Linked DNA regions of Arabidopsis thaliana. The protein of the gene in region 1 interacts with the protein of each later gene in a pairwise test. Each region holds a gene or a part of one and is shown in the gene's direction. Other genes may lie near its edges. The genes, in order: MGP1 and TOC64-V.

Region 1 (5,345 bases):
GATACATACTACTTTCTGAGTGTTTTGATTCATGTAAAGCATTAATTAATTTCTATTTAATTTTTGTAAACCTTTTCGTTGAGATAACTTATAGTACCATCACCGAATCACTTGGATTTGTTCTACCTATATATGTCTATTAGTAGTACTCCATTTGATTATTCTTTTTGAAAGCGTAACGTTTAGGTGTGGCATTAAAAAACAAACACATTTTGGTGTAGAGTCTTTCCGCCTCTGCGCAACTACTTCTCCTTAATGCTCCCTTTTATAGGCTCAACCAATTTTGTATTTCTCCTTAGTGCTCTTTTTTATTGACTCTAACCAATAATATTTGTATTGGATGTCATAAAAGAGACTCTTGTTATCTCTTGTGAACATTGTTTTTAAACCAAAAAACAACAACCAACTTTGCTCTTTCGCTTTTAGTTGCAACTCATTTTCAAACGTAAATTTTGTTAAGCGTTATGTGAATTTCCGACTCAAAAATCAATTGACATTCACTGAACATTCTCAGTATGGGATTTCTATCAAGTCTTTTGAAGATGTGGTTTCTCTGATCCATTTAGAGTAAAATCTTACTTTTTTTTTTTTGCAACATGTATATCTTATTTTTATCCACCGATAATCAATTATGTACAAGTTGATTGCATAATTTTTGGTGTAGCAAAAGTAGGTTTAAACGTTGGAAACCGAACTTAACTCATGGTATTGTCTTGATGGGCTTGATTCCTCCTATCAAGTTCTTTATACATGGACAAATTCTTAATGAACTAGCTAGCATGGTCAGTTTTGTACCAAGTCCGGAAGCAATTCCCAATTAGACATATGATGAGCTTGGAAAGATGAGTGAATGTGATTCTTCTAGAGAGAGTACTTGGAGATCATCAGGAGGCATATGTAGTGGGACAAATGTTTATAGAAAAATATTCAATCGGGAAAGTAATACATGATTTGTTAAACTGTAAAAATGGCGAAAGTACATGGACTGCAATGGTGGAACGAAATGGCTAGTAATGTATATTGCATGATCATGGGAATAAGGAGAAGATAAGTGATGGAATTGGGGGGGGGGGGGGGGGGGTTAAAGGTCGACGACCAAAATATGCGCAAGCATGAGTTTGAGGGTTGCTATGTCTGAGTTGTGAGTTATGATGACTGAGATATGTCAAACTATGAGTTTGATAATAAGACTATATGTAATGAGAGTGTTGAATAAATTATTCAACTGTTGAACACATACGATGAGAGTGTTGAAAAAGTAAAAAATCATATGTGGATTAAACACTATTGAATAGATTCAACATATTGAAAACCAAAAAATGGGAGAAAAGATGTATGCTCTCAAAGGATAAACGTTAAAAGAACCACCTTTTCAGTCGCAGAAGGAGAGGCTCTAGTCTTAAAGGAAGCAACCCTCCAACTAAAATGGTTGCAATTTGATCATCAAAACCGGTCCGTGACTAAAGTCCATGAAACAAAAGCTTTAGGTAACAGTAATAATAAGAGCTTTAGATAAATGGTCTAATGGTCTGTCCGAACCTTTTCAGTTTTCAATGATCAGTCACAGTTTTGATTCTAATTATTGTTGAATCTATTACTTATAATTTTTTTTGACTATTTATGTTAATATACCAAATTATTTTTGCTTTAGGTATCCATATAGTTTTGACCGACCTCGATGATCATGTTATATTCTGTGGAGATTTATCAACTATTTATAAATACCTTGAAACCGCTACTAGACATTGGAGTAATCCCTCACCTTGTCTCATTTGGCAAATATTTCCTATAGGTTCAACTTATTAGTAGAAATGACAATGTCTTGGCTGACACTTATCAAGAACTCTCCTTGTAATCACTTAGTTACTTCCATTATGGAAAAGTTGACCGATCGAAAAAAGGTATTAAAAAAAAAAAATAGAAAAATTAAGATTTTCATAGTGTAATTGTAAAAAATAAAATCAAATTATTTTCAGATATTCCGTATTGGGAATAAATCTCAGCCGTTGATTACTATCAACGGTGTACAATTACTGCCTTTGCCTGTTACTTGTTCTGCTCCGTCGCTCAGATAGGATCTCAACAAGACACCACAAACCCTAAATTTCGTCAACTCCACAGCGACTCGATTCGATCAAGGAAATGGCGTACGCTTCTCGTTTTCTCTCCAGATCTAAGCAGGTATATACTCTCTCTCCCTCGATTTTTCTGATTCTCTTCTTCGTTCTGTTTGATTCCTTTTGTTTTCCTCCCATTTCTGGGTTTTATGTGTTTCGATGCGATGGTTAGAGTGAGATTATCGATTTTACTGTATCTCTATCACTGAATCACATCTTAGGGTGTGCCATTTCAATATCGTAGTCGAATTTTTGTTATCTTTCGTACGATCTCAATCGGAGAGTTTGTTGAAATCAAATGATAAATTTGATGGGGTTTTTTTCTACTCGTTGTTGATTTCTAATACAGTTCGAAATGATAAGATGATTTGCAAGAAGTATTCTTTTCATCAAAACTTGTTATTGATCCATAATTTTTATTATCTTACTCTCATTACGCAGCTACAGGGGGGTCTGGTCATTTTGCAGCAGCAACATGCTATTCCAGTCCGAGCTTTTGCTAAGGAAGCTGCTCGTCCAACCTTTAAAGGAGATGGTTAGTGACCAAAACTCATACTTCGGATTTGTTATTATGCATAGAACATTACGTTTTCAATAACACACCTAGTTGAAAACAGTTGCTTTCCTTTCTTTAGCCCTTCGTGCTTTTGAGTTTAACATCGTGACTACTTAAGAATATGTCAAGTCACTTTTTTTATGTCGAATGTGTAGAAAAACTATATTGGTCAATGTAATATAATCTTGTGAAACCCAGGCCATGATTGCTAGGACTGTTGTTCTGCTTACTTCTTTTGTTGAGTTTTATATGTATCCAGTTTATGATGGATTATGTTTAATATGTTGCTGAAATCTGTACTATGTGTTTAGAGTGAAGAAGCATTGCTGTTTACTATTATTGACTCAAGTTTTACACTTTTTGACAGAGATGTTGAAGGGTGTCTTTTTTGATATCAAGAACAAATTCCAGGCTGCTGTTGATATTCTCCGTAAGGAAAAGATCACCCTTGATCCAGAGGACCCAGCTGCCGTAAAACAGTATGCAAATGTAATGAAGACCATCAGGCAAAAGTAGGCCTCTTGTTACTCTTTTGTAGGTGTTTGTTATTTAGCTTGAATGTTGTATGTCGTGATCTCTATTTCTGTTTGTTGGGATTGGTTTTACTTTTCGACTTTTCTGAAACGAGTTAAATATATGTGTCAATGCTGCTATTTTAACCTTGTTAATTTGGTTGCTTGTCATCCGTTTTTTTGGTATGCAGGGCAGACATGTTCTCAGAATCTCAGCGCATTAAACATGACATTGATACTGAGACTCAAGACATTCCAGATGCTCGTGCATACTTGTTGAAGTTGCAGGAAATTCGCACCAGGTAGCTGTTAGACTTTGAATAATTTTCAGTTATCTTAGGATAGTTTTCCCTCACCCGTAAACTTGCTCTTCTTATGTTATTATAATATTGGAATTATCTTCCTGTAAGATCTTGAATGTGATCGTTAAGCAGTTATCTGAAGACTGCATTTAACTATCTATATTTTCATCTCCCTCTTTGATCTGCTATTGTTTGCAACATATGAAGAATTGTTGGAAGCAGTCTTTAGTTATACTCCCACTTGTGATATATCTTGCAGGAGGGGGCTTACTGATGAGCTTGGTGCTGAGGCCATGATGTTCGAGGCTTTGGAGAAAGTCGAGAAGGACATAAAGAAGCCTCTCCTGAGAAGTGACAAGAAAGGAATGGATCTTTTGGTTGCAGAGTTTGAGAAAGGCAACAAAAAGTGCGTCATCATTCTTCAACCATCCATACAAAACACGAACAAATGATTCTCATTACTACTTATATGTATATCGATTTACATATTGATAGCTAATTGAATTGCATGTTTGCGTCTCATTAATCTAAACAGGCTTGGGATTAGGAAAGAAGATCTTCCTAAGTACGAAGAAAATTTGGAGCTCAGCATGGCCAAAGCACAGTTGGATGAGCTGAAGAGTGATGCTGTTGAAGCTATGGAATCTCAGAAAAAGAAGTGAGTTTTGTTTTCTTTTCACTTTTTTTGTTTCTCAATTTATCAATCATTGATCTTACTCATGTCATAACGCGATGGAACTTGCGGATTATTCAGGGAGGAATTCCAGGATGAGGAAATGCCGGACGTGAAGTCTCTAGACATCCGTAACTTCATCTAAGGTTTGATCCTTAGAAACATTTGATTTGTTGTAAGAAAAGGCAAAGATCTCTCACTTGATTGTCTTTGAAAGAGAAGATCGTTCCCTTGCTGCTGTTTTGGTTTGGCGTTCAATAAGGTCTCTCACCTGGATTTGAGTCTAACTCTCTCTGTGGTTATTACGCTTGAGATTCTTAGACACAAACGTTGTTTCATGTTTTTTTGATAATGGTGATCACTGGAATTTGAGATAATTAATAAAAGTTGTGATGTTAATTCGAAACAAAAGCGTGGCAAGCAAAATCAACCCGAGAAACTATTATAGTTTTGTATTTAGTAGACCAAATTCGAACCAAATCTAACCGAAATGGGATCTGGAGTATCATACATTCTAGATGAATTAAACCAATCATATCGAACACGTGGCTTGTCTGTGAACAATTATAATGGGTTTGTCTGAGAGACGTTAACAACTGTTTTCTTCGCCATGGCGGCGATTCCTCTCAAAGCTCCTTCTCTTCCTGGAACGAGAGAGTGTTCTCCCTTCCTTAACCGGTTCGTCACTCATCAACCGGTTAATTTCATCCGGAAGTTTCATCCTTCCTTAGATGAAGCATCGTTCTCCAGACGGGGACGAACCACTGTTGTTCGCGTTTTGGAGACGGAGAAGAGTACGAAAATAGAGAAGCCTGAGCCTCCGGTGAAATTGATTGCTCTCGTCGGAAAAGGAGAAGTAAGCCCACTCAAATCCACCTCTTGGGAAGAAGTTATGCTCCACACTGTAAGTAATTGTCTTCTCTCTCGCTTAACAATTGTTGCAAATTCCTAAACATTTCGGTTTCTGTATCGTTTTTCTTCTTACATTAACAGGCGAGAAGATTGAAATGGGTTGATGAAGGATATGAAATGCTCGTCTTTGATGATGAAATTGTGAGTTCAAATGATCAGAGAGCTATGAATCTGACACAGGAACTGAATCAGACTGATATCTTGGTTGTCGTTGCTGTTAATAACTCAGAATCTGTGAATTGGATTCAGACTAACAGCAAAAACGTCAAGAAC
Region 2 (6,638 bases), on another chromosome or scaffold:
TCACATATCTTCAATTTCCTTTAATCATAATATTATTATTTGAGATTTTGCATTTCGTTTAAGATGCTCACATTGATGATGCTTTAACTCTATTATTTGGTCAACATTGCCATATCAAACTAACTCCTTTTCCTGTTAACTATAGGGAGGAAACTGTCGCTGTGCTTGTCTCTCTAGGTGCTGATGCTGGGGCATTAACGGATCCATCTCCAGAGCTTCCATTGGGTAAAACAGCAGCTGATTTGGCTTACGCAAATGGACACAGGGGAATTTCGGGATTTCTTGCAGAGTCTTCCTTAACTAGTTATCTTGAAAAGCTAACAGTGGACTCAAAGGAAAATAGCCCTGCCAACTCTTGTGGAGAAAAAGCTGTTCAAACAGTCTCTGAGCGAACCGCTGCTCCTATGACCTATGGCGATGTACCAGAGAAACTTTCCTTGAAGGATTCACTTACTGCTGTCCGTAATGCTACGCAAGCGGCTGATCGTCTCCATCAAGTATTCAGGATGCAATCATTCCAACGGAAACAGCTGTGTGATATTGGCGATGATGAAAAGATTGATATCTCCGACCAGTTAGCTGTTTCTTTTGCAGCTTCTAAAACTAAGAATCCAGGACAGGGTGATGTCTCTCTTAGTTGTGCTGCTACCCATATCCAGAAGAAATATCGTGGTTGGAAGAAGAGAAAAGAGTTTCTTTTAATCCGACAAAGAATCGTTAAAATTCAGGTTTGCCTTTCATTGAGTTTTTTTTTCTCCCCCTTATTTCTTTGCATAAGTCTTTTGTCTGGTTTCTCATTGCTGGAATCATATTACATTTACCTTTAGGCTCATGTGAGAGGACATCAGGTCCGGAAACAATACCGAACAGTCATCTGGTCTGTGGGATTACTCGAGAAAATCATTTTGCGTTGGAGACGCAAAGGTAATGGTTTGAGAGGGTTTAAACGCAATGCAGTCGCCAAAACCGTGGAACCGGAACCGCCTGTATCAGCTATATGTCCTAGGATCCCACAGGAAGATGAGTATGATTATCTTAAAGAGGGAAGAAAACAAACAGAGGAAAGGCTACAGAAGGCTCTGACTCGTGTTAAGTCGATGGTTCAATACCCAGAAGCACGGGATCAATACCGTAGACTCCTAACGGTTGTTGAGGGCTTCCGTGAAAATGAGGTACCCAAGACCCATAACATAATCAGTTAATCATATTTTGTTGAGCATTCTTGTGATAAATTGTTGTTGCAGGCTTCATCAAGTGCATCTATAAACAATAAAGAAGAAGAAGCAGTCAACTGTGAAGAAGACGATTTTATTGACATTGAGTCTCTTTTGAACGATGACACATTGATGATGTCTATTTCTCCTTGATTTTACTTTCTGACTCGTATTCATTTTTCCTTCTTTTACTTTCTAACTTTATTTCTTCTCTGTAAATACCATAGTTGATATTTACCGCTTAATTTATTACTTGGATTGAAATAGAATTATTCACTATTTTCTTTCGTCTTAACAATATATAACTTTTTTATTTGTTCATTTGGCTTTTCTCTGCTAATATTATATAGCCAAGTGTTGGATTACTCTGATTCATATTTGTATCCGTATTGAATATTCTTCTCTTTATTAGCTGTTTTCTGCAATTTATACATCATATTTGTTTTGGTCAAACTCATACATCAGTCATATTGTTATAGTTTAAATTTGAATGGTAGTATGATATTGAGCTAACTTTTAAAGGTTATAAATCCGGGTCGACATGCCATTTTATCTACCAAATTTGGATTGGTAAACCATTAAAGCTATAAAAAAAACTTAACTTGGATTTTCCTATAATCTGAAGATAAAATTGGATTGACGGGCAAGGCTACAGAAAATGGAAACTTAACAATAAATTATAGCAGTATATATTTTAATTTTTTCATTATTATATTGAGGTTTTTAGTGGCTTGACTAGCTTAAAATCTATTTTTCCACGAGTGGAAAAGTTCATTAAGAGAAGAAATGGCCAACAAAAGAAATTATAAACCTAAATCAATTTGTACAAGCTTATTAAAAAAAATTGAAACGAGTAATTCTAATAAATAAAGGAATTAAAATTAAAATTTCCATTTTTCTTAATTTAATTTTTTTTTTTAATTTCTTTATCGATTTCGTAAAGACAATTATTAATCAATCAAAAAGAGAAGATTCGCCTTGGGCAGACGGACTTGAGTTCACGGCTGGCCAAGTCATCACTCGTAATTAAAAGGGTTTAGACACAGTGCGCACGATAGCATCTGTGTTTGCTTCTTCCAAATCTCTCTCCTATTTTTCTTTCCCCTTTTCTCTCTTAAACCCTCCTAAAACCCTTGTCTCTCTCTCTCTCTCTCTCTCTTTCTCGTGAGATCGCGTTATGTCGAATACGCTTTCTTTGATTCAAAGCAATGCCTCGAATCCCAAAGTTTGGGTAGTGATCGGCGTGACGGTGGCCGGGATCGTGATTCTGGCGGAGACCCGGAAGCGGCGGATTAGAGCCCTTAGAGAAGAAGACTTTGGTGCTTTCTTAGATCGTTTCGAGCTTCTTCCTTTCCCTCCGCCTCCTCCTCCTGCTGCTAAACAATCTCTCTCTGGTCTTACCTTCTCCATCTCCGACGCGTATGTATCTCTCTCTCTCTCTCTCTCTCTCTCTCTCTTAAAAATCATAACCTATTTTCAAATTTGTTTTTTCCTGCTTTATATAATGATCTCGCTTATAAAGTTCAAAACTTTTGTTTGGTTTAATTGAGATTTTGACTTGCTTAGACGAAGTCATGTTGCAATGAAATGAATAAAGTTATATCGGGGTTAATGGTTTGACAGGTTCGATGTTAAGGATTATATCACAGGATTTGGTTGTCCACAATGGAAGAAGACTCATGAGGCTGCTGAGAAAACTGCTGTGGTTGTCACGACGCTCTTGAAAAATGGAGCTACTTGTGTTGGCAAGACTATAATGGATGAGCTGGGTTTTGGGTATCTCTCCACTCCTACCATTCTGCATATGAAATGACCTTTCGGTAGTTGGTTTGAAGAAAGTTTGTGTTTTGAATGTGATTTTACAGGATTATTGGAGAAAACAAGCACTATGGAACTCCTATTAATCCATTGATGCCAGATAATGTTCCTGGAGGATGTTCCAGTGGCTCAGCAGTTTCTGTTGGGGCTGAACTCGTTGACTTTTCACTTGGTATTGTTAATCTCTTCGTTTTCTCTTGGTAATGTGTTTCTTGGATTACGTTTGGTTCTTTATGCTAATCAAAAGATGCTTGATTTGCAGGGATTGATACCACTGGTGGTGTTAGAGTCCCAGCAGCCTTTTGTGGTATTCTTGGTTTTCGACCATCTCAGGGGACTGTTTCTTCAGTTGGAGTTTTGCCCAATTCTCAGAGCCTAGAGACTGTTGGTACGTTACATTCCCCTCCCTTTTAGTGTTTTTAGTGTAGTTTCAATGGTACATGCTACTCTAGGTGTTTGCCTTCCTGATTATTGAACTCATTGATTCGTTCTGTAGGATGGTTTGCCTCTGATCCATCCGTTTTGTGTCAAGTTGGACATGCCTTACTAAATCTGAGTGCAGTAACACATAGAAGGCAAAGATCTTTAATCTTTGCTGATGATTTATTCGAGCTCTCTGACATTCCTAAGCAAAAGTCGGTGCAAGTTGTCAGAAAGGCAATCGAGAATCTATCTGGCTGTAAGTTTGCAGCTGTATTGTTTCCTTCTCTTTGCCCTTCTCCAGATTCATATCTTATGTCTCTTGACCACTGGCTCATGCAGACAAGACTCCAAAACATGTTAACGTTGGCCAATATGTCGCTTCAAATGTACCAAGTCTTGCGGAATTCTGTGAGCAATCTGGGAAATCCCAAAATTCAGCATCAACTTTAAGGGCTCTTTCATCTGTGATGTTGGCTATACAAAGGTATTTAAGAAGCTCACACTTCTTGAAATTTTCACTGCATCAATACTTTTTTCTCTCTCTCGTTCCTTTTAAACGGGTGCAATAAAAGATTGTTGTTATTCCCTCTTTGCTGGAGGTTACTATTTTCTTCTTAAGTTGTATTATATGCAAATATCGAAGAAGAAAGGATTTTCTTTTTACCAGGCATGAGTTCAAAACAAATCATGAAGAATGGTGGCAAACATGCAAATCGTTTCTAGGGCCAAGATTTTCCAATGATGTTGTTACAGCTCTGAAGAGCAAAAACGAGAGCATTAAATCCCTCTACAGAGTGAAAAATGAGATGCGGGCCACCATTCAAAGCCTTTTAAAGGTAAACTCGATTTTTGGAAATTTAAAATTTTCACAGCCATTAGTGTCTTGAGGACATTTTGCCACCAAAACACTGAAGTCTGAAGAGATTGAATTATTAACTTTCATTTTTGCGGCTTCTTTTTAGTTCTATGGTATTATGATTAACCATAGATCGGTATCTTATTACTAGGAAGATGGAATTCTGGTAATCCCCACAGTTGCTGATCCCCCTCCAAGGCTTAACACAAAGAGAAATAAATCTTTGAATGAGTTTCTTGATCGTACTTATGCACTCTCCTGCATTGCAAGCATGTCTGGATGTTGTCAGGTATATTTCCATCTCCTCTTTCTCATTCAATGGTTGGGGAACATTCTTGTTGCCTTTTCCTTACTCTTCAGTCTTTAGTCATGACACAAATATATACATATTCTTCAGGTTACAATTCCTTTAGGGGAACATGGTGATCGTCCAATATCCGTGTCGCTTCTTACTTACTATGGAGGTGATAAGTTCCTTCTCGATACAACTCTCGATGTATATGCATCCCTTCAAGACCAAGCCAAACTTGCATCCAACTTAGCTCCAGTGTCTGACACCAATGGTAACATGGAGGCTTCTGAAGTTATGAAAGAAAAGGTAAAACTATCTCTTTGAGTTTGACAAATAGTATATTTGGTTCTGATCCATGATATGCTACTGGAGTTGGAATGTTCTCAAAGTTAACAGTGGATAAAATGTAATTCCAGGGCAATGCTGCATACAAGGGGAAACAATGGAATAAGGCGGTAAACTTTTATACAGAAGCTATAAAATTGAATGGAGCAAATGCTACTTATTATTGCAATAGAGCTGCAGCTTTCTTGGAACTTTGCTGGTAATTGTTCTCTTCATATCTTTCATTCTGATCTGAATATAATTTATTATGATTTTCTGATCTGAGAGTTTGTTTATAGCTTCCAACAAGCCGAACAAGATTGTACCAAGGCCATGTTGATCGATAAGAAGGTGAAAACTTGATTAGCTGCCTTATTTCTCCATCCCTCGTAGTTTGTTTTGTTACATTGTGTTTTTAACATGGTTTTGTGTTTAAGTACACTTGAGCTGGAACAAAACTATTCACTTTTTATTTATTTGATTTGCGGCGTAATACCTTTGTACTATGACTATCTAGTTTCATTATCACTCAGATCACTCACTATAGACACAATGACGCATTATTTGGAAGCTTTGATTCTTATAATAGTTATTTGTTTCTACAGAATGTGAAGGCATATTTGAGACGAGGGACTGCTAGAGAATCACTTGTACGGTACAAGGAAGCTGCTGCAGGTATGATGATTAAACTACTCTGAGATTGTAATTTTATCACATTGGAGAAACTTGTTAAAAGATAAAATTCATCTAGCTATCCAGATGAGTTACTCTCTCTAGTAGGGTATTGGAGCGTAACATTATGGTTGATCATCTCTGCAGATTTCAGGCACGCATTGGTCCTTGAACCACAGAACAAGACGGCAAAGGTTGCTGAGAAGAGACTCCGAAAACACATATGAGTTAAAAAGGATTATTACTCGATTTCTCTTGTTCACCAATCTATCTTTTCACTTATCTAAAACCCTAAAAAGGAAAGGTTTTGCTCCGGTTTCAACAGACTAATAATTTAGTGGTTTTGTGACATGTGTACAGATTGGGATGAAAACTTCTACCTCTAATTACTTGATCTGAAAAGTTTTATGGGGTCCTTTTAGCTTCTTTGTTTTCTTAACGGTCTTTTACGTAAATTACAATTTCCCCCAAGTCCAATACTGTAATTCCTTAAATTACACGGAGGGACCCATAAATGACACGTTTACAATCAATTTCTCGACAAATAACTGAATTCGTTGTTTGTTTTTTTCCTCTTCGTCATCGTCACGCCTCCGTATCTTCTCCTCTGTTTCATTTTTGAATTATTCGAATCAAAAATGTTTGATCATATGAAACTGCTGCGATGCTTCAGCTTCACGGCGTCGCGAGATTGGTTATTCCGGCAATCATTCGCAAACGCCGGTCTACGTTCCGTAACGACAGATCTCTCCCACGGCAATTCAATCGCATCAACAGCTATGCATTGTTGGATTCCTAAATCCCCGAATCGATCTAAACCTAATCTCCTCCTCCTCCACGGATTCGGCGCCAACGCAATGTGGCAATACGGAGAACATCTCCGAGCTTTCACCGGCCGATTCAACGTCTACGTTCCCGATCTCCTCTTCTTCGGGTTATCATCCACATCGGAACCAAACCGAACCGAATCTTTCCAGGCTCGGTGTCTGATGAGGTTAATGGAAGCGCACGGAGTCCAGAGGATGAACATCGTCGGGAT

What was found.
Region 2: the proteins of MGP1 (region 1) and TOC64-V interact in a two-hybrid assay, tested with the Arabidopsis thaliana proteins (one study listed by BioGRID).

Annotation. Positions count from the first base shown.
Region 1 is NC_003071.7:9,319,416-9,324,760, reverse strand, and holds MGP1 (MALE GAMETOPHYTE DEFECTIVE 1), read left to right. Parts: upstream 1-1,893; 5' UTR 1,894-2,142; coding exon 2,143-2,181; intron 2,182-2,558; coding exon 2,559-2,652; intron 2,653-3,040; coding exon 3,041-3,185; intron 3,186-3,376; coding exon 3,377-3,487; intron 3,488-3,746; coding exon 3,747-3,893; intron 3,894-4,022; coding exon 4,023-4,145; coding exon of another isoform or gene 4,146-4,149; intron 4,150-4,241; coding exon 4,242-4,305; 3' UTR 4,306-4,571; downstream 4,572-5,345. Other genes in the region: AT2G21860 (violaxanthin de-epoxidase-like protein), read left to right, coding at 4,771-5,064, 5,154-5,345. UniProt on the Arabidopsis thaliana protein: Mitochondrial membrane ATP synthase (F(1)F(0) ATP synthase or Complex V) produces ATP from ADP in the presence of a proton gradient across the membrane which is generated by electron transport complexes of the respiratory chain.
Region 2 is NC_003076.8:2,925,925-2,932,562, forward strand, and holds TOC64-V (translocon at the outer membrane of chloroplasts 64-V), read left to right. Parts: upstream 1-2,248; 5' UTR 2,249-2,391; coding exon 2,392-2,633; intron 2,634-2,837; coding exon 2,838-2,990; intron 2,991-3,079; coding exon 3,080-3,204; intron 3,205-3,294; coding exon 3,295-3,420; intron 3,421-3,528; coding exon 3,529-3,711; intron 3,712-3,794; coding exon 3,795-3,939; intron 3,940-4,122; coding exon 4,123-4,291; intron 4,292-4,462; coding exon 4,463-4,600; intron 4,601-4,708; coding exon 4,709-4,909; intron 4,910-5,019; coding exon 5,020-5,147; intron 5,148-5,226; coding exon 5,227-5,278; intron 5,279-5,532; coding exon 5,533-5,602; intron 5,603-5,746; coding exon 5,747-5,826; 3' UTR 5,827-6,097; downstream 6,098-6,638. Other genes in the region: EICBP.B (ethylene induced calmodulin binding protein), read left to right, coding at 146-728, 828-1,172, 1,245-1,367; AT5G09430 (alpha/beta-Hydrolases superfamily protein), read left to right, coding at 6,238-6,638. UniProt on the Arabidopsis thaliana protein: Chaperone receptor mediating Hsp90-dependent protein targeting to mitochondria.